Arabidopsis thaliana: one gene and its partners. The protein of the gene in region 3 interacts with the protein of the main gene of each other region in a pairwise test. Each region holds a gene or a part of one and is shown on either strand. Other genes may lie near its edges. The genes, in order: ATAUX2-11, AT1G66820 and AT5G52547.

What was found.
Region 1: the proteins of AT5G52547 (region 3) and ATAUX2-11 interact in a two-hybrid assay, tested with the Arabidopsis thaliana proteins (one large-scale study listed by BioGRID).
Region 2: the proteins of AT5G52547 (region 3) and AT1G66820 interact in a two-hybrid assay, tested with the Arabidopsis thaliana proteins (one large-scale study listed by BioGRID).

Annotation. Positions count from the first base shown.
Region 1 is NC_003076.8:17,544,121-17,555,064, reverse strand, and holds ATAUX2-11 (AUX/IAA transcriptional regulator family protein), read right to left. Parts: upstream 4,887-10,944; 5' UTR 4,601-4,886; coding exon 4,422-4,600; intron 4,330-4,421; coding exon 4,027-4,329; intron 3,938-4,026; coding exon 3,859-3,937; 3' UTR 3,350-3,858; downstream 1-3,349. Other genes in the region: AT5G43710 (Glycosyl hydrolase family 47 protein), read left to right, coding at 249-321, 508-617, 738-788, 962-1,050, 1,138-1,219, 1,313-1,426, 1,532-1,611, 1,703-1,838 and 3 more; AT5G43695 (uncharacterized protein), read right to left, coding at 6,514-6,695, 6,777-6,816; AT5G43690 (P-loop containing nucleoside triphosphate hydrolases superfamily protein), read right to left, coding at 7,797-8,792; AT5G43680 (uncharacterized protein), read right to left, coding at 9,711-9,745, 9,857-9,967, 10,037-10,205, 10,294-10,352, 10,427-10,568, 10,683-10,804, 10,931-10,944. UniProt on the Arabidopsis thaliana protein: Aux/IAA proteins are short-lived transcriptional factors that function as repressors of early auxin response genes at low auxin concentrations.
Region 2 is NC_003070.9:24,926,291-24,932,506, reverse strand, and holds AT1G66820 (glycine-rich protein), read right to left. Parts: upstream 2,621-6,216; 5' UTR 2,415-2,620; coding exon 2,085-2,414; 3' UTR 1,880-2,084; downstream 1-1,879. Other genes in the region: AT1G66830 (Leucine-rich repeat protein kinase family protein), read left to right, coding at 1-1,122, 1,200-1,807; AT1G66810 (Zinc finger C-x8-C-x5-C-x3-H type family protein), read left to right, coding at 3,888-4,499, 4,574-4,894.
Region 3 is NC_003076.8:21,321,470-21,332,909, reverse strand, and holds AT5G52547 (uncharacterized protein), read left to right. Parts: upstream 1-5,411; 5' UTR 5,412-5,462; intron 5,463-5,472; exon of another isoform or gene 5,473-5,603; intron 5,604-5,859; exon of another isoform or gene 5,860-5,978; 5' UTR 5,979-6,067; coding exon 6,068-6,070; intron 6,071-6,269; coding exon 6,270-6,587; 3' UTR 6,588-7,047; downstream 7,048-11,440. Other genes in the region: USP (UDP-sugar pyrophosphorylase), read right to left, coding at 78-138, 217-281, 362-433, 526-653, 732-831, 932-1,072, 1,178-1,294, 1,394-1,498 and 1 more; AT5G52550 (stress response NST1-like protein), read left to right, coding at 3,914-4,996; AT5G52545 (RNA-binding protein-like RNA recognition motif protein), read left to right, coding at 8,107-8,109, 8,277-8,350, 8,436-8,562, 8,688-8,951; AT5G52540 (keratin-associated protein, putative (DUF819)), read left to right, coding at 9,208-9,524, 9,677-9,903, 10,005-10,115, 10,238-10,396, 10,601-10,848, 10,915-11,238.

The DNA of each region.
Region 1 (10,944 bases), 3.8 Mb from region 3:
TTTTACCTTCTCATAGCTTTCACATCTTATTCTTACTTATTTAATTTGTTCATCTGTGCTATTGGTGCCGTGACTGGAGTGCATATTAATATAAATGATACCGAAATGCTTGGTTTTCCTATCTTTGCTAGGTCTCAACGAGTTAAAGAGAGTTGAGATTAAACTGCTCATTTTCTGCTTGCTGATCTTATCTTTTGATTCCTATATTGGAAACTCATTTATTCATGCATCTTTGTTTGTTTGTTCAGATAACATCAACTGCCGGTGGTGGTACTTTGTCTTTAGAGTTTGGCGTGCTTAGTCGTTTAACAAATGATCCTGGTGAGTAAACCAGTTTAGTCACTGAGATATATCATAAATCTGTTAGTCCTTGAGAAATACTTCTCTTTAGCTCTCTTTACTCTTCTATCATTTTCGTTGGGATTTCCAAGAGATGTAATTTTGATTTTCATAGTTTGTTGTGTTTCTTACGTGCTCTTACATGGGCCAACTTTGTTAAATTTGAAGTTTTCGAACAAGTTGCAAAGAATGCGGTGAGGGGACTATGGGCACGTCGTTCAAATCTCGACTTGGTTGGTGCTCACATCAATGTCTTTACAGGTGAATGGACACAGAAGGTAACAAAAAATGGCTTCTGTATATGTCAGAAGAACTACGGTTTGATGAACTTTGCTTCAACAAACTAATTAGTCTTTTTTTGTCACCCAAATTCTAAAATGGTAGTGTTTACTTGGCAGGATGCTGGTATAGGAACAAGCATTGATTCCTTCTATGAGTATCTACTCAAGGTTAGTAAACGTAGCCCTTGACAAGATATTTGAATTATTTGGATATAATGGCCAAGTCCTAGAAATCCAGAAAAAAATAGTTTCTGTTCTTCTTCAACTTTGCATAAAACTTGAGCGGCATTGATATAGTCCTAGACTCCTCGCTTTACTTTTGTTTGATTTGACAATTTCAGGCTTATATACTATTTGGGGATGAGGAATATCTATACATTTTTCAAGAAGCTTATAGATCTGCAATGCAGTACCTTCACAAGGATCCTTGGTAAGCTTTCTGTATCTTGTATGATAGAGAAACAAGAACAAACAATTCCTTTGTTTGGACTTACTGTTTTTTCTAGTTTTGTCGTAGGTATGTAGAAGTCAATATGGATTCCGCAGCTATTGTCTGGCCAGTATTTAACAGCCTTCAAGCTTTCTGGCCAGGACTTCAGGTAAATAGTGATTCTACGTTTGACCAAATTGTTAATATATTTCAGGCTGGAAAATTTAACTATGATTTTGTATCTATGTTTCTCTCTCAAAAGGTTTTAGCTGGAGACGTTGATCCAGCAATAAGAACTCACACTGCCTTCTTTAGCGTCTGGAAACGATATGGTTTCACCCCTGAGGGTTTTAATCTTGCTACACTTAGTGTCCAGGTACTCTATCTTAATTTTAAGTGTCTCTGTGATCACTTGTCACTTATTACGTCTGATGGCACTATGATGTTACAGCTTCATATCTATTCTTCATTTTCCTTACAGTATGGGCAAAAGAGTTATCCCTTAAGGCCGGAATTAATCGAGAGTACATACTGGTTGTACAAAGCTACCAGAGATCCCAGGTCACCAAATTAATTAGTTATATTTTTTTCAATTCTTCATCCAAAGATGATCACACTACTGAATTGCACAATGCAAATTACTCGTCGACAGGTATCTTGATGCAGGACGTGACTTTGTGGCTAGTTTGCAATACGGGGCAAAATGTCCTTGCGGTTATTGTCACATCACAGATGTAGAACTGCATAAACAAGAAGATCACATGGAGAGCTTCTTCCTCGCAGAAACGGTAAAATACATGAAAAGCTCTGTTTCTCAATATGCATTTACTTGCTTACCTTAAAGCCTTGACTTGTTTTTGTTTCAAAAATATTTCAGGTGAAGTACTTATGGCTACTCTTTGACTTAGCTGTTGACTCGGATAACCTCGTAGACAATGGCCCTTACAAGTATAAATATCTCCTCCACATTAACCTCTTGATTTTCACAAACACCACAACAATTCACTAATCTTGATAATTTTACTTAATCTTCAGGTACATCTTCAGTACTGAGGGTCATCTCTTACCAATAACACCACAAATATCTCTAGCTCGGGAACATTGCTCTTACTTTGGTGGATACTGTCCAAGCAATTCCACAAAACTAGAACAAGAAGTCCTTGGAGAAGACAGTAGTAACGATGATCACAGTAACGATTATCCTTACCACGAATCTTTTCCAGTTACCGGTTTGATAAAGGTCAGTACCAGAAATAAAAATGTTTCTTTCTTTCTTTCGGATTCCTTACCACGAATCTTTTCCAGTTACCGGTTTGATAAAGGTCAGTACCAGAAATAAAAATGTTTCTTTCTTTCTTTCGGATTCCTTACCACGAATCTTTTCCAGTTACCGGTTTGATAAAGGCCAGTACCAGAAATAAAAATATTTCTTTCTTTCATCAAAGTCAGTTTCTTTTGTTTTGGGGTTTTTGTAGGGTTTATGTCCAGGACTAACACATGCTCAGAAATATGGTTTTTCGTATGTTCTACCGGAGAAGACAGATCGTGAAGATGTTAATCAACCTAAACCGGTAGTTACAAGCAGTTCAATTGTGTTAATCTCGGATCAAACAGTGGAGAAGAGACCACAGGAAGAAGAAGGATTTACTTCTCAGTCTGAACCAATAATGACAATCTCTGGTGGTAGTAGCAACGACCAAACAGGTCAAGAGCTAACCTTGTTAGAGTCAGAAACTGATGATCAAAGATCATACTCTTCTTAAATCTCTCATTTATATATATGTTCCACAGAAGAAGATTACAAAAACTTTTGTTAGAAATATAGATTCAGTTTTCCAATCTCATCAAGAATCTTGAATCCTTCTTTTGTTGATCGATTGTTGTCTCATCATAATCATCATCATCATCATCGAGACAACTAGGTTTAAGTATTTGGTAAAATTCTTGACTTAATAATCATCTTGCATCAAGAACATTAGGTATGAATGTAAAAATTGTTGGTGCACAAAGGAAAAACCTAAATTCAATGAACCTATCTATACCATTTTAAAATATTACTCTAGTTCCAAGGTTCATAGATTATTATAAGTGATAGTGGAGACAAATTAGCACAGTTGGGTAGATTTACTTGTTTAAGGTATGGGGGACCAAAGTCACAGTTGGTAACAACAAAAGATAATATAAACATTTCCAAAGCCCCAAAAATATTCTCACTGCTCGATTAGATTTCTTATTTCTTTAATCTTGGTGACTAAACATGTATAATCTAAGTTTAAAGAAACTAGAATCCAATGATATATGTTTAGAAGCTGGGATTATTATTTTTACCATAAAGCAGCTTTGGTTTAATGATTTGTCTTCGTTGTGTTCATCTACAAGTTAGGTTTAATGTTCTGTGTTACAGTTTTGTAAAGACAGATCTTAATTTGAAGAGAAACAGAACAGAAAAATGGGTAATTACATCAAAAACATCAAAGTTGTTCGATAAGAACATTATAAAAAGTGAAAAACACAAAGATAATCTTCAGATTAGATCTTTCTAATACCACAAAACCTTTCTCTTTAATGGAGACAGAGTTACAGCTAAAGTTTAGATTTAGATCTTTCTCACACTTTTATGCTTAAGACCATTTTAAGCATCTCTCTTTTTACCGATGAGGTAAACATTCACAAAGTATGATTGTATGAAACATCTCTCCCCAAGAACCCGAGCAGTTTCAGAGCTATATTTACTCTGTTTCAAGAAACAGAACAAAAAACTCTGTTTTTGAATCTTTCTCTTTGATCTTTATCTCTCAATTAGGTTTGTTAAAGACCACCACAACCTAAACCTTTAACTTCAGATCCTTTCATGATCCTTAGCCTCTTACAAGACGAAACAAACATCCTGCAATAACAACAAAACACCATAAATACATAAACAAGATTGTGTCATAAGTTAACTAATTTGAGAGATAAATGAAAATTTGTACTTACTCCCAAGGAACATCACCAACAAGCATCCAATCACCATCTTTGTCTTCATAAGTAGGTACAAAGTCTGAGCCTTTATATCCTTCTCTCTCAAAATATTCTCCCACAGAGAATTTAAACATGTTTTCAAGTGATTTCATCAACTCTGGATATTGTTTATACATCGTTAGATCTATCTTCCTTAGATATGGAGCACCATCCATACTTACTTTCACATAGTTTCCTTGACCTTCAGATTCACTCTTCTTTGTCTGAACATTGTTCTTTCTGTAAGATCTAACTGGTGGCCATCCAACAATCTGAGCCCTATAAAACAAGAAATAGCATAGATTAGATTAGATCAGATTCACAACTCAACACACATTTTCAGAGAAGTTGTATTTGATTCAAACACTTACTTTGGAGGAGAAGCGGTTTCAGTTTTTCCAGTGGATTCAATCTCTTTCTCAGTAGCTTCAGGTAAAACTCTTTTGTTGCTTTTTCCACAAGAAACAGTTTCTTCTGTCCCTGGTAATCCCAATCTCAGCTCTGTTGCCTTTAGGTTAACAAGCTCATCATAAACATCAACTTTTTCCATTTCTTCTTCAAAGAAAGAACCTCTTTGTTTTTGTGTGTTTTGTGTTCTTGTGGTTGTCTAGAGAGAGAGAAAGACTTGTTGATGAGATAAGAGGCTTTGTGAAGAAGATTGTTTTATAGGAATTGAAAAGTCACTTTTTTGGTAATTTAGAAAAAATGGGATTAACTTGATTTAAGGACAAAGGCAAAAGCTAAAGCTGTCGGGTAGTAAACAGTAGCAGCAACTTTGAGGCAAAGTGTGTCCCATCATTTTGGGGACATTTGTGGGACACTTTCATCTTCAACACAAAGAAAGATACTTTCTTTGATTTTAGAGGACGGTCTAGATTCATTTCTCTGTAGCCCTAATTCAAGGAAGTGGGGTAGAGTATGGTACACTCATGTGCAGAATATAAAAAACCTTTCTCTTTTGTTCAAGCATTGAGTTATTGTAGGGTAAGCATTACATGTACTGTGGTCTGCCATATGCATTTGTCACCTCTCTCTCTCTCTCTTAAAGCCAAGAACTTACTCTTTCATCTATTTGTGGTTCATGTGATATCAGGATTAGATCATCCTAGTCAATTGAGTTGAAACTCTAGCTGTCTAAAGTCAAACATATTCATAGTCTTTTTTTCTGTGTTTGGAGGATAAGATTTTGAGTTTCATTGGGTCTGATTGGTAGCTTCATGTGTGTCCAACTAGTATTTGAGTTGGGACTTTCGAGAGTATTAGTAAAGAAAAACAAATAGTATTTGAGTTAAAATTATACTATTTGTTTTTCTTTACTAGTTTTCATGAAAGTCCCAACTTAATTTGTCTCTCTGTCTCTATGAAACTTCTAATGATCTTTATATATATGAATCCAGGAACAAACTGACAAGAAATCTTGCCAAAAGGTTTTGTCTTTAGACAGTTCATTATCTATGGGGTCTTATCGTTTTGGGTTTTGATTTCTCTCTGACTTTGTTTTCATGTTACTACAGCAAGGCAGTTTATGTACTTGTCATGCTTTAGTGAACCAATGTAAACCAAACCTAACCTAATCTCTTTGGAGGACCAAATTTGAAAACCTATGTTCAAGACTATTTTTTTATCCTAAGTTTGTTTAGTCTCGATTTCAAATTTTTTTTTTCTGTAGAAAAAGTTTTGAATCGTTACACATTAAGGGGTATTATTCAGTCATGGATTTCAATAGAATCAAATCCAACACTAATCCACTGTGATTGATGATTCTAAATGGTGCTTAAATATTTGTGATTAATTTATCATTAGTATTATGTTATTTTTGGCACATGACCTCCTAATAGTCTAAATCCTTCTTCTTGAGTATGATTTATGGATTACGACATTTGGGAAGTGAACATTTAGGAGATTGTTGGTTTTATCCGAATTGGTCTCAAAAAGGAGAATTTTAAAGGTAGTGAGTTTGGTATTTATTGTTACACGGTAGACGACAAGACTTTGGGTTCGATTTGAAATGTGAAAAGTTGGTTTCATTGCATGGTTGGCGTTAGAGATTTAAGTTCATGACTAGCTTATTTAGCTAGAAATCAAATACTGAAAATGAGACGTATCTAACAACAAACCGGTTCATGGCATTCTCTCCGGTTCCGGTTCTTTTGGACTCTATGTTGGATTGATCCACCGTTGGATCCAATAAATGATATAAAACAGCTACACACATGATCATACATATACAGCTTCATAAGTTATAGTTGGTGGGCAATATATATGCTTTTATATCATCCTAGTGATTATTCTAATGGTGGCTGGTTTGATGAAAAATTAGGCATCACCTCTTCCATGTTGAATTTGTTCTTAACTATCTTTTTTGAATTTTTTTACATAATGTTCAATATTTTTTGTATGGACTATGCAACAAAGTTTTATTATTAGTGAAAACATATCTTATTCAAAAAAGAAAACGGAAAATTAACATAGACATAAACAAGGAGTAATTCTGTTGTTAGGAATACATTTCATATGACATCCATCCATGCAGTCATCATCCAGTAATTTCACTACCTGCGGCGAACCTTCATGATGCAACTGAGGAATTTCTTCAAGTAATAACCTTTTCGCCTCAACATTTCGAACAGTAACGATACTCATCACTACAAAATCAGAAACTATAAATAACAAATTTTGTATATAGATTTTTGTTATTTGCTTCACACGTGAAATATAAATTTTACCTGATGTAACAATTAGGCAGATAAGGAAAGCAAACTTCATTGGTATTTTTTTACTTTACAATATATAGCGGAAGTTGTTACACAAAACTCGGGGTACTCCCCAATACGTAGAAGTACAACTATTTCTAGATACAATAGTTATATAAAGGGATCTACTGTAAATTACTAATTATTTTGTTTTTGTTACCAGCCAAATAAATACTTATCAAATTACAAGGAAAAAGTCCAGTTATTGACTAAGTAAAATTATATGAATTTATTACAAAATTTTGTAAATATACATGAGACTAGTATAACTGATATTCTACAAAAAGTCGGTAACAAACTAACAATATAAGACCAATTCTAGAGTGCAAACTAGAAAACAAACAGTTTAAGAGTTACAAGAGATAGATCATATAGTTTTGAAATATGGAAGCAAATAACAATCATCAATCCATATTCTATATTGTAGTTTTTATTTGAATTGTGGCAAGACTTTGGGTTCGATTTGAAATGAAAAACTTTGGTTTCATTGCATAATGTTTAACCTGTATATATATAATAGGAGAGTCCTCTCTCCATTTAGGGTGTCCATCTAAGCATCCATATAAGCAACACTATTTATTTTATGTTAAAATAAATTTAAACATTCATTTAGTGCATATTTTTGTTACTTATAATCATAAAAAAATGAATAAACAAAAAACGAATTATGTAAAATAAATGAGCTGTTAAAATAATAAAGTTATACTATAACTTTTTTGTTAGTAGTAATAATCTATTATACCACACATTTTATTGTGCCTTTACGGTTAGGTGTATCGGTATTTACTCGGGCAATCATCATATCTTGAAATAGTTGTATTATGAATATACATGGAGTTGTGTCAAATTCACACTTTTGATTTTTGGGCCAATCACTATGCATTATTTTATTGAAAGACAGTCAATACTCATAAATCAAAGGAACATAAGAAACAGAAGGTAGTTTTATTATAATGCATATGTGAAAAGCTACAAACCACAAAGAACACGAATCTAGAACTTCAAGTCCGAACCTTTTAATTTCTCCTCGATGATCATGTCGATTTTGTTCTCCATTTCGGGAGTTAGATGATTCTTCCAGTCACCAACTTCTCCTTTGCGGAAATAGCTTTTGTAGTCATAGTTCATCCATGTTTTTCCGGTTTTGTTAACCTCCAAACCGCTCAGATTACCAAGAGAGCATAGTTCCAAGAGTTTGCTAATCGAACCACTATCTTCTTCTTCCTTAGTGAAAGGAAACCCCAAAAACTCGGCAAGCCTCTTGACCTGGACACACGGCTCTGTTTTCATTTCCTCGTACCTCATGAAAAGGACATGCTTGGGGTTTTCCAAGCTGCCTCTCCAATAGCTTAGAGCATGGTCCCAAAACGGACCATAGAAGCTAACTCCGCCACAGAATGACTCGAACATTGACTCAAGAGTGCTTCTAGATACTTCATTGTTGCTATACTTGGACCTGAAATGCCAATCCGATATCAAAACATCCTTTATGTTCCTGCACATATACACAACCTTGCATGGAGAACCCTTGAGGCCCTCTTTGAAGGTGTGTAAAGGCATGTGAGTCGAAAACAGCCTCGGGGATGATGTTGAGAACTTGGTTAAGTCCGGTGTTGAGGTTTTGAGATACATATCGAACTCAAAGAACGGTACTATGCCATGAGGATTATCGGATAGCAAAGGATGTGTGAGGGGATCATCATCAAAAGGCTGTTTAGATCTCTCCACGATTGCGACTGAGAGTGCCTTGAGCCAAGTTGTACCGGATTTGGGGAAAGACGCGAGAATAATGTCGGTGTCTTGCGGCTGGAAGTTTCTTTGGTAGTTGATGACTGCTTGGAGAGTGTTGTGGTAATACCAACATCCTTGGTACTTGCAGAGCTTCACATGAGAATCTTGGTATGTAGGAAGTGAAGAGATCAGAGTTTTTGTTTCTTCACTTAGGTTGTCGTCTCTCGCGATCACAGGAAGATCACTTTTTCCAGCCATTTCTTTCTTAATATGTTGTACACAAATGTGTTGTTTCAATATGCAAACATCACCTATATGAGTAACTCAAGTTTCTTGTTGGATGAATATTTTAGCTTTAAAATAGTAACAATTAGTGGTGGTTGAGAGAATATCTTGATGTTAAATATGTGTTGTGGTTGTCGTCTCTTCATTGCATAGTGCGTTTTAAGCCAATTTATTTGTTAATTTGTGCTACTACAACATGTTTTATTTTAAAATGCAAACATTATTATTTAATTTCTGGTAGGTACATATTAGTCAAGTTTCTTGTTGGACGAATCTGATGAATATTTACTTCCAAAGTAGTAACAATATTGAATATTATAAGCTATACAACAGCTACCCTAATACTGTATATACAGTAAAACTTCTATAAATAATAATGTTGGGATGTTATAGACCTTTGTTAATTAAGCAAAAGCTTCCCTTTAACCCAACTCTCTCTTAGTGGTTATGAATCAATAGAGACCCTTATATAGTCTTGATACAACTTAATCATAACCTTAATTTTCTTTTATAAAGGAAAACTTTGAGAAAACCATGGATGTCCATTGGATTTTTATAACTACACTTGTAAAAATACACAAAATTTTATAAAATTTAATAGATCTCTACTCTTTAAAAAAACCCAACCAACTCTATGCAAATCCAACTCACACTAAACCTCCGAAGTAAACAACAAAACCTAAACCTATAAAGCGGAAGCATTAATTACAAGATGAAAGAGTGAACTGACTTCGCTCCAAGTTTAGCTCACTTGTTGCCGCATCAGAAACAAAGGTCCCTCAGATTCTTGGCTCATCGAACATAAAAAAAAAAACAGTTAAATAACAAGGCCTACTCTTTTGTACCTTGCCGGTGTCTTGTGATCGATGATGGTCCCCAAAACTTTTGAGTTCAATTTTCTCCTTTCCTGTCACTGAAAAACTTCCCTGCAACACTCACAAGAATAAAGAAAAGAGTTTAATCAATACGAGTTTTGAGTTTTTTTGCTTTGATCTTAACTGTACAACAGATAGACTAAAGAGGTTGTTTTGTCTCACCTTTCAAAGCTGGAGTTTCTTTCTCGGCTTGTGCGAAAAAGCTTTTCGCCTTGTGTGCTACTTCCGCTTCAAGAACCGCCTCTAACATTAAATCAGATCCTCTTGCACTCTCTGCAACCAAACATATGGGAATAAAGTGAGCAACTTCGGTTTCTAAACTCAAGCTATAAAAGATTCTACCTTTGCGTTGAGGAAGCAACTTTGCCATCTCAGCTGATACTGGAAGAACAGGTGAATCACTGTTTAGACTGTGAGTTTTTCCATTGACTGTCTCAGATAATCGTGCAAATGATGTTGCTTGAGCGTGCAGGTTAACAGAAGCTGACGACGAGCCACTAAATTCTTGAGCCTTATATGAACATAAAAATACAAAAGTGTGAATTTCACAATTCAATAAATAAAAAATGGATCAAGAAGGATCATAACATCAAAAAGACCTTTGTATAATGATCTACAGGCTTCTGTTTTTCTTCAACATTAACGGATGTAACAATCCCTAAAATACAACAAAACCAGATCATGAACAACAACATGCAAGAAAGAGTAATGACTATTGAGTGTTTTCTATACCATTGGTGGTGCTTGGACTAGGTTCTTGAGTTTTTTGGTTATCCACTCTTCGAGTCAAAGGACTAGAATCAAATAGAGAAAATCTTGCTCCATGGCTAATCGCATCTACTTGTGCTCGTAAATCTTGAACTTCTTTCGATATCTAAACCAAGTACGAGAGTAATGTAAGGCAACAAGACTTCAAGGAATATGTCATTCGAATTCACTACAACAATGATGTTGAGATAAAACAATGTTGATGAAGAAACAATCAAACCTCTTGCATCTGAGGTTGTTTCATGACACCATCCAAGTGACCACGAGCCATATTGATGTAACCAATGGCTCGTCCGAATAATCTTCCTCCTGCTCTAGCAATAATCGGAAGATCCTTGGGTCCTGTTAAATCAGAGATTCACATTTGATTCTTCCAATTAACACTCAAATCATTCGATTCCAGAGAAATTTGGGAGAAGAACACAAAGATCGGAGCTGGTAAAGCTTTTCGATTGAAGAGAGACTAACCTACAAGAGCAGCT
Region 2 (6,216 bases), on a different chromosome or scaffold from region 3:
TCTTTGGACTTAAAGGGCTTCAAAGCTTGGTGCTTTCTGGAAATTCTTTTTCCGGGTTTGTCCCAGAAGAGATTGGTAGCTTGAAGAGTCTAATGACTCTGGATCTTTCGGAGAATTCTTTCAACGGTTCGATTTCTTTGTCGCTTATTCCATGCAAGAAGCTGAAAACGCTTGTTCTTAGCAAGAACAGTTTCTCTGGAGATCTTCCAACAGGGTTAGGTTCTAACTTGGTTCATCTTCGGACACTGAATCTTTCTTTCAATCGCTTGACTGGAACGATCCCCGAAGATGTAGGAAGTCTGGAGAATCTGAAAGGTACACTTGATCTTTCTCATAACTTCTTCTCAGGTATGATTCCAACAAGTCTTGGAAATCTCCCTGAGCTTCTCTATGTCGATCTTTCTTACAATAATCTCAGTGGTCCGATACCAAAATTCAACGTTCTGTTGAATGCCGGTCCAAATGCTTTCCAAGGGAACCCTTTCCTCTGTGGATTACCGATAAAGATTTCTTGCAGCACAAGAAACACACAAGTAGTTCCTTCTCAACTATATACAAGAAGAGCCAACCATCATTCTAGACTCTGCATCATCCTTACAGCCACTGGAGGCACAGTCGCCGGAATCATTTTTCTTGCTTCATTATTCATCTACTATCTCCGAAAAGCATCGGCTCGTGCAAACAAAGATCAAAACAACCGAACATGTCATATAAACGAGAAACTGAAGAAGACGACAAAGCCAGAGTTTCTCTGTTTCAAGACTGGGAATTCAGAATCTGAAACGCTAGATGAGAACAAAAATCAACAAGTTTTCATGCCAATGGACCCGGAAATCGAATTTGACCTCGACCAGCTTCTAAAAGCCTCGGCTTTTCTTCTAGGGAAGAGCAGGATCGGGCTTGTGTACAAGGTAGTTCTTGAAAATGGATTAATGTTAGCCGTTAGACGATTAGAAGATAAAGGTTGGCTACGGCTCAAAGAGTTTCTAGCTGATGTCGAAGCAATGGCGAAAATCAAGCACCCTAATGTCTTGAATCTCAAGGCTTGTTGCTGGTCTCCTGAAGAGAAACTCCTGATTTATGATTACATACCAAATGGTGACCTTGGTTCTGCAATTCAAGGTAATTTTAGTGTCAAAATCGCATAAATCTATGACCATAGTTAAGATTCAAGACTGATTCATAAAAATTTATGACAGGTAGACCTGGTAGCGTGTCATGCAAGCAACTAACCTGGACGGTCCGGTTAAAAATATTGAGAGGAATAGCAAAAGGATTAACTTATATTCATGAGTTTAGTCCCAAAAGGTATGTCCATGGACATATAAACACAAGCAACATACTTCTAGGACCGAATCTTGAACCGAAAGTATCCGGTTTCGGTCTAGGTCGTATCGTCGACACGTCTTCAGATATCAGATCAGACCAAATCTCTCCCATGGAGACAAGCTCACCAATCCTCTCTAGAGAATCATATTACCAAGCTCCTGAAGCAGCTTCAAAAATGACTAAACCGTCTCAGAAATGGGATGTGTATTCATTCGGTTTAGTGATACTCGAAATGGTAACCGGAAAATCTCCGGTTAGTTCAGAAATGGATTTGGTTATGTGGGTTGAATCGGCTAGTGAGAGAAATAAACCGGCTTGGTATGTTCTTGATCCGGTTTTAGCTCGTGATAGAGATTTGGAAGATAGTATGGTTCAAGTCATCAAGATCGGTTTAGCTTGTGTGCAGAAGAACCCAGATAAAAGACCACACATGAGAAGTGTATTGGAGAGCTTCGAGAAATTGGTAACTTCTATTTAATTATTATTAATTAATGAAAAGTAATAATTTTAATTAGATTATGTGTTTACTTCATAATTTTCAGATTACTTCATAAATTTCATGTGATAATTTTTATGGTTTTTCTGTTAATCATTCATAATTGTGATATTATTATGAAAAATAAAAGGACACAAGGGAGGATATTTTTATTGAACTTATATAATTAACAAAACTGTTAATACAGTACAAAATTAACATAATGCTTTAAAAATCTTTTACCCAAACCCGACCCGGAATTATGAACCGGAGCTTTTTTTCATAGGTCAAATCTCTCTTTGATGTCATCGAAACTGTACCCGCCGCCAACTCCAAATCCGTATCCAAACCCGAACCCGATACCACAACCAATACCGAATCCAAGAACCACGTTAGAATGGTCAAGTCCTTCAGAGGCACCTATTCCGAGCCCGCCGGAGAGACCAATGCCGATTCCAGCGCCGCAGCCAATGCCGCCGCCGATTCCGGGACCGACGGTTGTTGTCTTGATGTTATCGATTTGTGTACGGAGGAATCTGGTAACCGGAAATTCTGATTTCCCGGTTTTGACGTCTGGTTTACGGCTCCAGAGTTTATTAGTTGATCCCATTGGTTTTGTGATTGGGCAAATGACGATCACTGAATTGTGAATTTATGAGTGATGAGAAAATCAGATAAGATTTGAGAAAAAAGATGAATATGCGTTGAGGTATTTATTGGGCTTATTGTCGCATATATTGGGCTTTAACCCATTTAAGTCTCTACAGATTCTCTCCTATTTATCAGTTTTTTTTAATGATAAAAGATACACATGAGATACAAATTCTTCAAGAAAATGTTAAATACAGATTTGGATTAAGTTATATGATATTTTGTTTTTAAAATGTCGTAGAAAGGGTAAGAAGGTAATTTGGGCAGGGTTGTTGGGTTAGAAGGAAGGAAACATTTTCTAGTTAGTTAGCTACAACGAAAGATTTTGATTGAAGTATATTACACATAGGAAAGAAAGAGGGACCATAGTTAGTTAAAGTTGTGCTCTTTAAGCAAACAAAACTCACATATATTCCTTACCTTACTACGGTCGTTAACAACATGAAACTAAACATACATGCATATATCAAAAAACCAATTTAATCATCAATTCATTAACTATTCTTATTCATGATTGGCCCAACCAAACTTAATAAAATGACCTATTCTTCTTTATTTTTGTTTCTTCAAACACACCAATACATACTTCCTTATTCTCCAAGTTACAAACAAAACCTCCCCTCCTAACAAACTTTTTGTTTCCATCTATTTTTTTTTTCAAAATAGATTTTTGCTTGAGGTTCATATTTATATACTTGCTTAATGAATATATTATTAATGTTTTAAGCTATTAAATACTCGAACTAGTAAACCTCCTTTGGGATGGAAGATGCATGTTATTGACTAAATATGATCTACCAAATGGATTTAACATTTTTTATGGTGAATATTGTCACTATAATCTTAAGCTTAAGAAACTATACAGCAATATAAATAGAATATTAAATTTTGTTCTCACTGTATGTGTAAAACTAAACACTAGTTTTGTTGTTGAAGTTATCTAAAAAACAAATAATATTCTGTTACATAGAAATCTTTAACGGTTCTGAAGTTGGCGCGAAAGTGAAAGTAGGTGAGAAATATTCCTCTACACTTCACTTAACCATGAAGAAGCAATTCGTTATCCAATTAAATACACTCGCTTCTCAAACAGATCCTTAAATAATCTCATCGTATGGTCTAGATTAAGTAGCGTAACAATCTTCTCGTAGTCTCTCCCGCATATTATCTTTCTCTCTTTCTTCTTCCTCCTCACCTCTCTGGTTCTCTCTATATATATATATATATACAGAGCATCGTTCATATCTTAATTTCACCGCTCTTTCTCTTTCGCTTCTCTGAGAAGTTTCAAAGCTAATTCAGGTACTCTCTCGCTCTTATTATCTTCTCTGGGAAGTTTCAGTTTCCGATTGTGATTTTGTAGATCTAAACGGATTCAATTTTGTCAATTTCTGTGTTATCTTCTTCAGGAAGCTTTCGAGAAATTGCAACAATGGAGAAACTCGCGGCGTCTACTGTTACAGATCTAGCTTGCGTAACGGCGATAAACTCATCGCCGCCTCCACTATCACCGATCTCTGAACAAAGCTTCAACAACAAACACCAAGAAGAGTTCGCCGCAAGCTTCGCATCACTCTACAACTCAATCTTCTCACCGGAATCTCTCTCTCCTTCTCCTCCGTCCTCTTCCTCACCACCATCTCGCGTCGATACAACTACAGAGCATCGTCTTCTTCAAGCGAAACTTATCCTCGAGTACGACGAACTCAACGAGCATTACGAGCTTTGCCTTAACCGTCTTCAATCTCTAATGACGGAACTTGACTCTCTTCGTCACGAAAACGATTCTCTCCGCTTTGAAAACTCAGATCTACTCAAACTTATTCGTATCTCTACTTCATCCTCCTCCTCCGTCTCTCCTCCGGCGCCGATCCATAACCGTCAATTCCGTCACCAGATCTCCGATTCTCGCTCCGCGAAGAGAAACAATCAAGAGAGAAACTCGTTGCCTAAGAGCATCTCCGTCAGATCTCAAGGATATCTCAAGATCAACCATGGATTTGAAGCGTCAGATCTCCAAACGAGTCAACTCAGCTCTAACTCGGTAATTCTCACTGTAATTTTAAAATTTAAAATTTGTTTTTATTTGATTAATGACGTCATAAATGTTTTGTGAAGGTGTCTTCTTCTCAAAAGGTGTGTGTAGTACAAACAAAAGGGGAGAGAGAAGCATTAGAGCTTGAGGTATATCGTCAAGGGATGATGAAGACGGAGCTTTGTAACAAATGGCAAGAGACTGGAGCTTGTTGTTACGGCGATAATTGCCAATTCGCTCACGGAATCGACGAGCTACGTCCTGTGATTAGGCATCCACGCTACAAAACTGAGGTTTGCAGAATGATGGTCACCGGAGCTATGTGTCCGTACGGTCACCGTTGCCATTTCCGTCACTCACTTACTGATCAAGAGAGGATGATGATGATGATGCTTACTCGCTGATCTGGAGAAGAAGAAAGGTCATTGAAAAAGGGTAATAATTAGTGGTTGTGTACAGATTTCAGATTTGATACCTTATAAATATCGTAACTTTTCTGGGTAATGAATTGGGAAGAAACATATTTGCTTGCAATAGGAATAAGGAAGGGAAAGATGTTAAGTAAATGTTTGATAGGATTATAGGAATATAATTAGGGATGGATAAGAAAGGAGAATTGAAGAAATGTGTGGTTCTCTTTTATACTTCGAGATGTTAATTCTTTTGATATGTTGTTTGTATTCTCTTGGATTAAGCAGGAGAGACTTGAAAAGGATGTTAGATTCAACAAAGATATGAAATTTATATTGATAAAGTTTTCTACTTTGTTCATAAGTATGCAACTTTCTTCCCTAAACTGTTGTGCTGCTATAGTTTTTCTCTTTCTAATTGCTGCAGTGGTGGTAATACATTCATGGGAAAAGATTGATTTGGTTTGTTGGTTATCTTGGTTTGTGTATTTATGTGTAATCTCTGCTTACTGGCTTTCAAGTTTCTGTTTTGCTGATAAACATAGACTAAGATCTTAGGATGGGCATGTGTTAGTTTATGTCGAACTGTGTGTTTTGCTGGTCTTACCATTTGGAGAAGAATGCAGTGATTGTGTCGGATGATGTATTATGTCTCAAGTTGTTCTGTTTATGGTTGGCAAGAGAACAGCAATTTTCTCTGCAGAAAACTGTTTCCTGACGATTTTGTGACTAGAAGTTGTAACTAGTTTGTTCCTGCCGTCCGCTAAAGAAAACTTGGTCTAAGTCATAGGATCTGTATTGTATGACTGTATGTATTAGTTGATCTAAAACTACTTGTTTTGCTAAAATGGTTTCAACTTACAAGGTCGATGAAGTTTGTAGAATGTCATTGGGCTACTTACCAGCTGGAAGATACATTGTGAATCTTTAAGAGTAGGAAGATCGAGTTGGGTTAGATTTGCCTTTCATATGGAGGATTCTTTGTCTATTGGTTAAATTTGGTACTAACAGTGGTATTAACTGGTAACGTTACCAGTATATGTTATATTGCTTTTTACTATATTAGACTGTTTTCGATATCAGTATGCTTGTTTGATAAGCTAAAGTAAACTGTTGTGCCTTGAAATCTAGGTTCTGGAAGGTCAAATACATGCAATTTGACCATTTTCGTTTTAGAAAGAGTGTTTCTTTAGAGAAAGATTAAATTTTACCACTCTCTCAGATTTAAACAGTCTTTGGGTAGTATTGATAAAAGAAGATTATAATCAAATATTTCATTACATTGTGAAAGCTTAGACAATAGACATCATATTTAT
Region 3 (11,440 bases):
TCATTAAAGAATTGTGAATTTCCATCAAAAATTGTATGAATACTTTAAGACACAAGAGTTGAGTCGCTGCTACTAACATTGAAGAGAAGTCCATTTGTATCTTGGAAAAACAAAACCCATTTTAAACCAGCCTCAAGCCTGAAATTGCAACAAAAAAAAAATTGTTATAGTCAACAGACTTATAAAACTAAAAGATATATATGATAGATGAACTACCATTTATGAAGAAGGCCACTGGAATAAAGAAGCGAATGTACATCACCATGTCCATGAGGTTTTGTCTATGAGTAGCAAAGAAAACGACAGGTCAGCCTGCAAATATTTGTACTAGCTTTGAAAACGTTAACATGAACACAAGTACCTGGATACTGTATTTGTTGTGAGGGTCTAATGCAAGTCTGGCATCGTTATCATCAAGACATGCAACTTTTTCCTAGAAAAAAGGTAGCCAATAGTGCATTATTTCTCAAAACATTTTACGTTTTCATAAAATCTGTCTAGGAAACTCAATAGATGATCCTTTACCTGTTTTAGAAGATGTACTTGAGTAGGTTTCATTCCAAAATAAGAGTTTAACTCTAACAGGTCCAGTGTACGTGAATGAGTATCATCAGATGTCATAATAATGAAAGGAATGTCTCTCTCACTTCCATCTGCAGAAATATACAATCACTGAGGAATGTGAAAAAGTACTTATTCACTTACGTTGATTTAAAAAATTAGAAACATACCAGAATCGATCTTGTTGCTAGCTTCTTGAAGAGCCAATATAGATTCAATGTAATGCTGCAAGAAGCATGTCCCTGTAGTTGTCTCCCTTGGAAGTGCCACCTAAGAAATAGATTCATAACTGGGTCAAATCTGTTTGTAGGTCTATCTATTCTATCTACGGGTAAGTGATTAAGTAAATGAAACATTGTTCACTATGTACCTTGATTCCATTGTAACCAAGACGCTCGCCAAGACCACCAGCAACCAGAACAAAAGCAGCATTCCTAGCTTCGACGACACCTCTTTTTTCCATTTCGATGAAGTTGTCAGTACCAAAAGTGAGATTTTCTCCTGAAGGGACCTGCAAGAACCACAAGAACCTTTTGTTAAAAACCAACAGAGACAACATAAAACAATGAACTTTTGAATTCATACCAACAAAAAAAGAAGATTTGATGATACTTACAGAAGGAGAGAAACCATCATATGGGTTTTTCCCTACTTTCGAATCAGCGAGAAGCTCTTTCGCAGTCTTAATGTATGCTGCTAAACCTCCAGGATAGCTTGAATTTAAGCGAGCAATCTAATAAACATTTTCATTCCAAAACGATGTCTTAAGTCCTGTTTCTACGTTCATTCATCAAAACACTGAGATGTAAGAAAAAAAACATAAAGAAAAAACCTGATCGAAAAAAGCTAGCTTCTCTTTATCATCAACACCGAGTTCAGGCCATTGTTGGAAGAGATGACTCTGACCATTTTCTAATAAGATCTTCGCCAGTTCGATCTGCCACGAAAACCAGATCACGAAATGGAAGACAATTATAAGAAAAGAATGGATCACTAGTCCAGACACAAACATATAACAGAGTGCAGAAGTATAGAAACCTGATCAGGAGACAAAAGTCCGAGGTTACTGTGAAGAGCTGGGACGGATGAGAAGAAATTGGAATCAACCGTAGAAGCCATGAAGAGGCTCTTAACAAAGGAATGATGGAAGAGAACACGAGCAAATTGCAAGCTGGTGGCGATGAGTTTCAAAAGGTATGATTCAAAAAAACAATATTTCAGAACATGGTATGAAACAGAACATGAGCAAGATTAAACTAAATTCGGTTAAGAAATCCAAAAAAAAATCTGAAACTTTCGTGGCGATCAAGGGAAACACGAACAAAGAGAATTTCGATTAATTCGGTTGTGTAATCCATAACCAAAATTCTCGGATGCAAAAATAACAAATCTCGCTTTTTGATATCCTCTCGCGGCGAGGTATGAGCATAATGCGACGAGAAGAGATGAAAATTGAGAAGATCGGTTTACCTGTAGCTTCTTCGACGACTGGGGAATTGTAGAGAAAAATTGATAGAAATGAGAGAGAAGAGGAAAAGACGGGTTTGTGTCGGTGAAAATTGAAGAAGACCGAACCAAAATTATGTGTTTTGTTTGCTTTGTTTATAAACAAAAAAAATCAATTCAGAATTTGAGATTTGGGAGATCGATCGAGACGACAGAGAGAGAGTTTGAGATAAAGCTGGAAAGTGAATCAACGAAAATGCGTTACGAAGATTCGTCTGGTGGAAACGAATCAAAATCTAACTAACTTTTTAAGCAATGTATTTACGAATAATAATCACAATTTTAATAATTTTCTGATAACACATGGCCCACCTAACATATTATTACCGTGGAGAAGATATATTAGAGAAGAGCGCTGCGGAACTGGAGCTCGATGAAAGCCCATCCACATTTTCTATCAAAATCTAAAAGATTTAGCCCAGAAAAGGCCCACGAGGTTTTCTATTTTTGACAGTTCATTCATACACTTGTTGCTTTCTCTAAGATCCAATCTCAGCCGTTCATTATCAAATATTAATGGCAATACTTGTCGAATCTAACGGCTGAAAAATATATGTGGATCCAATACATATATCATTGACTAATCAAGTTTTAGGTCCCTAAATCCCAATCGAAAACCTCCACTCAACACATCATCCACCACGTGTTACTTTCTAATTGGATTAAATATAACATAATTGCTCCGCTCCAGTGTCTCTTCTTTCTCAAAATCTTCTTTCTCAAAATCTTCTTTCTCTCGTCTCTGCGTTTATTCTCTCTGGATCGAAGTAGTAACTTTACGTCCGCGATTTGGTCTCTCTCTCTCTCTCTCTTTCTATCCGATAAATCTCAGGAGAAGTTAGTCGAGGTAGTCTGCTTCTATGCCATTTTGCCGAGGTTAGGATCCAATTCCTTTTCATAATTGCTTCGATTCAATCTTCTTCAATTTCCATAGATCAATCCAATTTGAGTCGATTTTGTAATACTTTATGATTGCCTTAGGTTTTGATCTCTGAATCGACCTACTCGTTTCGTGTTTGCTTTGATTTGATTTTGGTGTATGCATTAGTTTCTGAATGATAATTATAGGTTGATTCATCCGATCGCAGTTTGTCCCGGATTTAGTGTGCGCAGTATGAATTTCGTTAAATTTGGCTTATGATTTGTTTCAAATTGACTTTTTATGTCCATGTTTCGTGGATTACTTTGTGTAGTTTGTGGCTAGCTTTCCGAATTTGGGTTTCAATGTTGATCGAGAGTATGTACATTCAACTTTGGTTGATTTATCTTGGTTTGTTGACCAGTGTTAGTTCTTTTGAATCACTGTATCTTCTAGGTCCCTTGTGCAATTGTGTTTATAGGTTGGTAACCTGAGTGAGTAATTAAGTAATCAGCTGGGTAACATCTGGTTGTGAAAAAGCTTTCTTGTTTAATGTTTTTGCATATAGCCATATAGAAAATAGAACTGTGTGGTCGTGCAGCTTTCATTAGGTTAAGAAAGCAGATGGGTTGGTTTGGTTTGGTATATTATTTTTGAGATCCCTGTTAACGCAAGTCTAATCTAGTATTGTTTTCTTTTGTAGAAAATGGGAGAAGTTAAGGGATGTTGGAAATTAGGACGAATGCTTTCAAAGGATAACTCTGCAAACTCCTACAACGTCTCCCTTCTCTTATCTCCTGTTGTTTCTGTTTGGGATTGTATTGTCCGTAAAATGAGGTATACCTACATACCTGAGTGGGTGTAGTAGTCATTGAGATCATCGCGCCTTGGTGTAGTGAGTTTGGTAGAATCAAAGTAAAAGGAAACAACCAACTAAAAGAAGAAGCCAGTTAACAAAAGCAAGGCAAACAAAGACTTGTAGCAATCATGGATAGCAGTAGCTCGATGTGCAAACAAGCTCAGCCAATTGTTAGAAAAGCCAGGAAGAAAAAAGTAAAAGGTGTAGTGGACCCAATTAAACAAGCTGAGAAGAAAAATAGACGTCTTGAGAAAGCTATTGCTACTTCTGCAGCAATTCGGGCTGAGCTAGAGAAGAAGAAGCAAATGAAGAAGGAAGGACAGCTAGAGGCAGCAGATGAAGAAGATTCAGCAGATGCTGCAAAGAAGAAGCAGGAGAGAGACGAACTGGAGCGTATCAAACAAGCAGAGAATAAAAAGAATCGGCTGGAGAAATCCATCGCTACTTCTGCAGCCATCATGGCTGAGCTAGAGAAGAAGAAGCTTAGAAAACTTGAGGAACAAAAGAGATTGGCTGAGGAAGGTGCTGCCATTGCTGAGAAGAAAAAGAGACGTCTTGAGAAAGCTATTGCTACTACTGCAGCGATCCGCGCTGAGCTAGAGAAGAAGAAGCAAATGAAGAAGGAAGGACAGCTAGACGCAGCAGTTGAAGAAGATTCAGCATATGCTGCAAAGAAGAAGCAGGAGAGAGAGGAACTGGAGCGTATCAAACAAGCAGAGAGGAAAAAGAGACGTATTGAGAAATCCATCGCTACTTCTGCAGCCATCAGGGCTGAGCTAGAGAAGAAGAAGCTTAGAAAACTTGAGGAACAAAGGCGATTGGATGAGGAAGGTGCCGCCATAGCAGAGGCTGTTGCTCTGCACGTCTTACTTGGCGAAGATTGTGATGACTCATACCGAAACACGCTAAACCAAGAAACAGGTTTCAAGCCATGGGACTATACTACCAAAATCAATCTTTTTAGTGGTGGAATAAACAGATTCTTTCCTCACCAACGGTGCTCAAGCTACGCGGTTCATGATAACAACAGAACAAGAGACAGTAACTGGTCGTCAGTCTCATATGAGCCTTTCGCAAGGGGATGGGATAACAACAACAACAACATGGGAATATCAGCTGATTTGTTTGATACTCAAGCTGTGTCGTCACTACAGATCTCTGAGAATACTGACGTTGACGCAATTGTCTTCAATGGGATGTTCAGAAGATGACGACTGTATCATAATTCCCAAGCATTTGTAACTTATTAAAAGTTTGTGTGCTGTTTTTTATTTTACACAACCAAAACAACTTTTTCGTCTCTTACACTGTGCAAATCCTTCATCTCTCTTTAGCTTTTTAGTGAAGTGAGACTCATACGATCTGTGTTTTTGTTTCCTTTGTGGTTGTACTTAATTTAATCCTTCTCAATTCACTGGCATTTTCAATACTACTAGGCTACTAGCAATAGCTTCAAACTTCAAAGTAAAAATTCGGACGTTGCGAGAATCATTTAACTAAAATGAAACGACGTGGTCTCTGACTTGGTGAGTGACTAATTTTTGACGTTCCAATCACCGGTTCGGTTTTATGTTAAACCGGATAGACATTTACTAGTTACTAGTTAGTAGTTACAGCCATAAATTCTGATTCTGGTGCTCCTGCTTTTTTTTATTGAAGTCTGCGTGCTTTAGCTTTGTAAGTTGCTTTCCATTGATACTCTCTAAATCTTTACAACATTCTTCATCTGTTATTAGTTCCTAAGTATATGAACTCTCTGCTTCTTCTCTCCAGCGTTGTTCAGTTGTGTGTCGAGATGTGCTCGAAGTAGGTGACTAGGTTGACTAACTAGTGATTAGGGTTTTCTGTTCAATTTTGGCTTGTTTCTGGTGTTTTTCTTAATTGAGCTGTTTTGAACTATTGATTATTGTGAGTTCATCACACTTGGAACAGACAATAAATTTGACTACAGATCCTGTTCAATAGAGAGAGCTAACTGCAATTCTCGTGGAGAAGCCTCTGTTTTTTTAATAGTGATTAGGAAATATTGAGTTACTGTAGTATTGTTAGATTGGTTTATGCATTTCTTTTGTAGCTTTTGATGAACAATTGGTCATATGCCATTATTTTCGGTTTTATGGTCCTTATGTGATACATTACTATTAAGTGTTTATTTTGTACTCTTACTGAAATCTTGAGAGCTGTTATTTTCAGGTGGATGCAGAATTGCAGACTATACATTCTTTTTTAAGTTCTTGAGCTTGGAACAATACTTTTCTCACTCTAGTTGTTTCTGCAATCAAATGGTAACACCAATCTCTAATGCAATTTTTGTTCATGTCAGTTCAAACTCTTTCAAGTTGATTTTTGTCTAGCTTTTTCTATTGAGGATCAAACTTGTAAACACGCGATTGAAACCAACTGTAGAATGACAGATCTTGTTTGTTATTCTGTCTTTATGTTACTTTGTGTCATCTTCTAAATACTTTTACATATACCTTGCAGGATACTGGTGGGTTTGTAGATGAAGAAAGCGATGGATCTCAAGCTTCTGCACAGTCATCAAGCTCCCAGGCAGTTAGCCATTCAGATGAAGCAATGTCTCGTCCATCAGGTGTTAAGGCGGCAAAGGCCGCGAAAGCTAAAAGGACTCTGTCAGTGATTAAGAGCATGTGGGAGATTAAGCAGAAGGAATTTGAATTGAACGAGAAGCTTAGCAAGAAGACGTTGTTGGAGACTCTACTTCGAAAAACAGCGCCGCTTAGTGATCTTGAAATGGCTTTAAAGAACAAACTTATCACTGACATATTGTCAAATGCTTGAATGGTGTCTTTTATGTCTTGAAAGTTAGTCTTTTTTGTTTCGGTTAACGCTTCTTCACTTGTTTTTGTTCAGTTAGGTTATGAATCTTAAGTTGTTTGTGTTCTGTTCTAAATTGGTTTGGTTGTGCTCTGTTCTAATTGGTTTGTGTTAGTGTTCAAATGGATTGGTTTGTGTTCTGTTCTAAATGAATTTAAATTCGATTTCAGAGTTTAAAAGGATGAAGTCCATGTCGAGATGCAAGAGTTCAAGGAAGCATAAATAGCAAGTACATGCAAGTGTTGTTCTGTTTTGTGTAGAAGTATATAGGCTATGGTCGTGTGAAGATTCACTTGAGTTTGTGTGTCAAATTTTGTGAGTGTATCAAGTTTTGAGAGTGTAGAGTCTGTGTCAAGTTTTGAGAGTCAAATGTATCCCAAACACTTTCACATTTTTTTCAAATGTTTATATTTTCATAGAGGTTGTTAAAATTTAAAAGGTAAAAACCCTTCAGATGTATCCCAAACTTTTGATTTTGTATTATTTCAATTGGTAAATATGGAGATGCTTTTATTTGGTTAAAATGAAGCGACGTCGTTTAATAAAGTCAGCTGGCTTTATAACTTGATGAATGACAATTGACTAATTTTGTCCGAATCACCGGTTCGGTTTTCTCGTTTAACCGGATAGTCCTTTACTGGTTACAGCCATAAATTCCGATTCTGCTGCTCCTGCTTTTTTTTTTTTATTGAAGTCTGCGTCTGTGAGATCACGCTTTAGCTTTGTAAGTTGCTTTCCATGGATACTCTCTAAATCTTTACAACATTTTTCATCTGTTATTAGTTCCCAAGTTGCATATGAACTCTCTGCTTCTTCTCTCCATCGTTGTTCAGTTGTAATCGAAGTAGGTGCCTAGGTTGACTAGCTAGTAATTACCACCACTCAACGAAATCCATGAGGTTTTGGCGATGAATTTAGGGATTTCTGTCCAATTTTGAATTGTTTCTGGTGTTTCTCTTAATTGATTATTGTAAGATTAAGATTCATGTCGGGGAATAGTTACTCTAAGTTCATCAATCACACTTAGAACAGACAATAAATTTGACCACAGATCTTGTTCAATAGATAGAGAGCTTAAGGTTTATCTTCTTTTGTGCTTACTAAACAACTGCAATTCTCATGGAGAAGCCTCTGTTTTTTTTTATAGTGTTTAAGCAAATATAGAGAGTAGTAACTAACTGGAGTATTGTTAGATTGATTTATGCCTTTCTTTTGTGGCTTTTGATCAAAGATTGGTCATGTCTCGTGTGCCATTATTTTCGGTTTATGGTCCTTATGTGAAAGTGTTTATTTTAAATTCTTTCTCATCTAAAGTGTTGAAGAATAGTTTGATTGTTGTATTGGCCTTAAAGCATTTGTACTCTTACTGAATTCTTGAGAGCTGTTATTTTCAGGTGGATGCAGAATTGCAGACTATACATTCTTTTTTAAGTTCTTGAGCTTGGAACAATACCTTTTTCACTCTAGTTGTTTCTTCAACTAAATGGTAACTACAATCTCTAAAGAATTTCTTCAAGTTGAATTTTTGTCTAGCTTGTTCAAACTTGTAAACACGCGATTCAAAACTCATTTTACAATGACAGATCTTGTTTACTACTCTTTCTTTATACTAATTTGTGTCATCTTCTAAATATTTTTGTATATATACTTCAGGATACTGGTGGGTTTGTAGATGAAAAAGGTGAGAACAGATTATATGTTGGAAACCTGGATCTTAGAATAAACGAGTAAGTGAATCACAGCTTGTTATATTACCTCCACACCATAGATCAAAACTTTGCTCAATACCTTATAAGTTTCTCTTCGTCACAGGGCTTCGTTGATAAAAATGTTTTCTCCATATGGGAAGATCATATCAGAAGACTTCCTTTGGCACACACGCGGGCCAAAGAAAGGAGAACCTCGGGGTTATGCTTTCATTCAATACAGCCTTAAAGAGGTAACTAACAATCTGGCTCTCTTGGTTTTGCATTTGTACTTGGATGAAATTGTTTCAAGAAATGAAAAATGTTTTGATTTTGATTGAGCAATCTCCTGATTTCTACATCTAAAGTGAGCATACAGGAAGCTGAATTGGCGAAAGAGAAGATGCATGGGAGATTAGCTTGTGGTAGGCCTTTAGTGGTGCGTCTAGCTAGTGAGAAGCATCTAGAAGATTCCTCTCATGATCACTCCAAAAGATCATTACCAGAAGGAAACAGAACCAGATTTGTAAACGGGAGCAGCTCAGGACAAATGAGCCGAGACGAAAAAGTAACTGCCATTAAGAACAAACTCAAAGCTTTGGAAGAAGATGAGAAACGTGATCCCAAGAAACAGAAAATTTAAGAAAACGGTTTTCAAACACACAACTTTGGGTCTATGTGACTCTGTGACTCTGACCATTTTTCAGTTTTGGTTTGATTTGATTTGGTTTACCGGTTTAATCGAAACCAATTTTGATTTAATATTTCGGTTTGGCTCAGTGTTATATATAAAATTTGTAATGGAAAGCAAAAGTTGACGCACTAATAGGCACACTGAGTCAATTCCACTAATCACTTCCCTTTTCCACCTTTTCCTCGTCGTGAAGCAGACGCGACAAATGGCGACGAGCTTGCCATTACTCAATGTGATCGGAAACTCGTTACCGTCGTCGTCGAGACTATTTCGTCGGCGTTCGTACATTGTTTCACGCCAAGATCTACCTGAATTCTCAGCTAAATCAACCTCTTCAAGGCTTAGCTTCTCTCCTGCTTCGTTGTCGCAATTTCGTAACGGAACCGACAGGTTTCTGTCGCCGGAATCATCATCTCCGATCCGATCGGTTACTGTGAGTTCGTTGAGTACGCCTCTCATTTCTCCCAACGATGAATGGGGAACTTGGACTGCTCTCTTCGCTACTGGTGCTCTCGGTCTCTGGTACGATCATCACTCTTTATAGAACTTCGATCGTTACTTTATCTGATCGGAGATTTGAATTTTACGTTGTGTTGATTCTTAAGTGAAGTTGATTTTGTGTGATACCAATTGTGAAGTTTGAAATCGGAAATGGTGTGGGATTGATTGTATAGGTCGGAGAAGACAAAGGTCGGAGCCGCTATGAGTGGTGCGTTAGTCAGCACTCTAGTTGGTCTTGCAGCTAGTAATCTAGGGATCATTTCTTCTCAAGCTCCTGCTTTTGCTGTTGTGTTGAATTTTCTGCTTCCATTAGCTGTTCCTCTGTTGTTGTTTAGAGCTGATTTGCGTCGTGTGGTTCAGTCCACTGGAAAGCTTCTCTTGGCCTTTTTGATTGGATCAGGTATAAGGATCATAACATTCACACTATTCCTATGGTTATGCTCTTGATATTTCTGACTTTGAATTATCAGAAAAACCTGAGCCTTTGCTATTTCATAACAGTTGCCACAACGGTGGGTACAGCTCTGGCATACTATTTAGTGCCAATGAAGTCACTTGGCCCTGATAGTTGGAAGATTGCAGCTGCTCTCATGGGAAGACATATCGGTGGAGGTAACAAAAAATTCATGTCTTTGAACATCTGCATCTGTATCTTCCATTTTCTTGACGCGCCAATATTGTTCACTTATTTCTATAGTGGTGTATAAGTTGCATTGTGATTATTTTTTTTCCAGCCGTCAACTACGTAGCTATATCAAATGCTCTTGGAGTTACACCATCGGTTTTAGCTGCTGGACTGGCTGCTGATAATGTTATATGCGCTGTATATTTCACGACATTGTTTGCTTTGGGCTCCAAAATACCTGCAGAAGCTGTACCGCCACCGACTACTAGTAAGTCTGAATGTTGCTGTGATGTCTGGTTTCGTTTGATTTGGCTTCCTTTGGAATTGATCATTGAGGTTGTGTAAATATTCAGTTAGAAAGTCATTTCTATTGGATTAGATATCCAGAGGAAAATGTTCTGTTCCATTCCTTTTTCATGTCGATTCTAGCCAGTTTCTGAACTCTGACTTAGGTATTACTCTCCTATGGCAGTTGTAGATGCAGAGACGAACGAAGCTTCTGAAACTAAAAATAAAATTCCTGTGCTACTGATAGCTACTGGAATTGCTGTGTCATTAGCTATCTGCAAGGCTGGGGCTTTGCTAACAAAGTACTTCGGAATTTCGGGTGGTAGCTTACCGGCTATAACAGCGGTTGTTGTTATTTTAGCAACTGTCTTTCCGTCCCAGTTTGGTCGTCTTGCTCCATCTGGAGAAGCCATGGCTCTAATTTTGATGCAGGTATGAGACAAGAAATTCAAGAACGATGCAACCTTCTTGATATTAATCAAGCTAGTTTTCTTTCAGGTGTTCTTCACAGTGGTGGGTGCAAGCGGAAACATATGGAGTGTGATCAACACGGCGCCGAGCATATTCTTGTTTGCATTGGTTCAAATTGGGACACATCTGGCTGTGATATTGGGCATAGGAAAGCTGCTAAACATCGAGCTAAGGTTACTGCTTCTAGCATCAAATGCTAATGTCGGAGGACCCACGACCGCAGCTGGAATGGCGACGGCAAAGGGATGGAACTCGTTGATAGTTCCCGGGATTCTGGCCGGAATATTTGGGATCGCCATTGCAACTTTCATAGGAATTGCATTTGGAGTTAAAGTTCTTAAGTTCATGTGAAGATGGTAGTATAACTAAACTATGGACCTGACTCTGCTCAGTGCTCACTCTCTCTCTCTCTCTATATATATATATATATATATATATATATATATATATATATATTGATTTATATTGTAAACCCCACAAAATTTCAAGTTGGCTTAATTTGCCAAAGGGTTCCTTACTGTGTTTTATTTTGAGGCTTTGTACCTTCGAATGA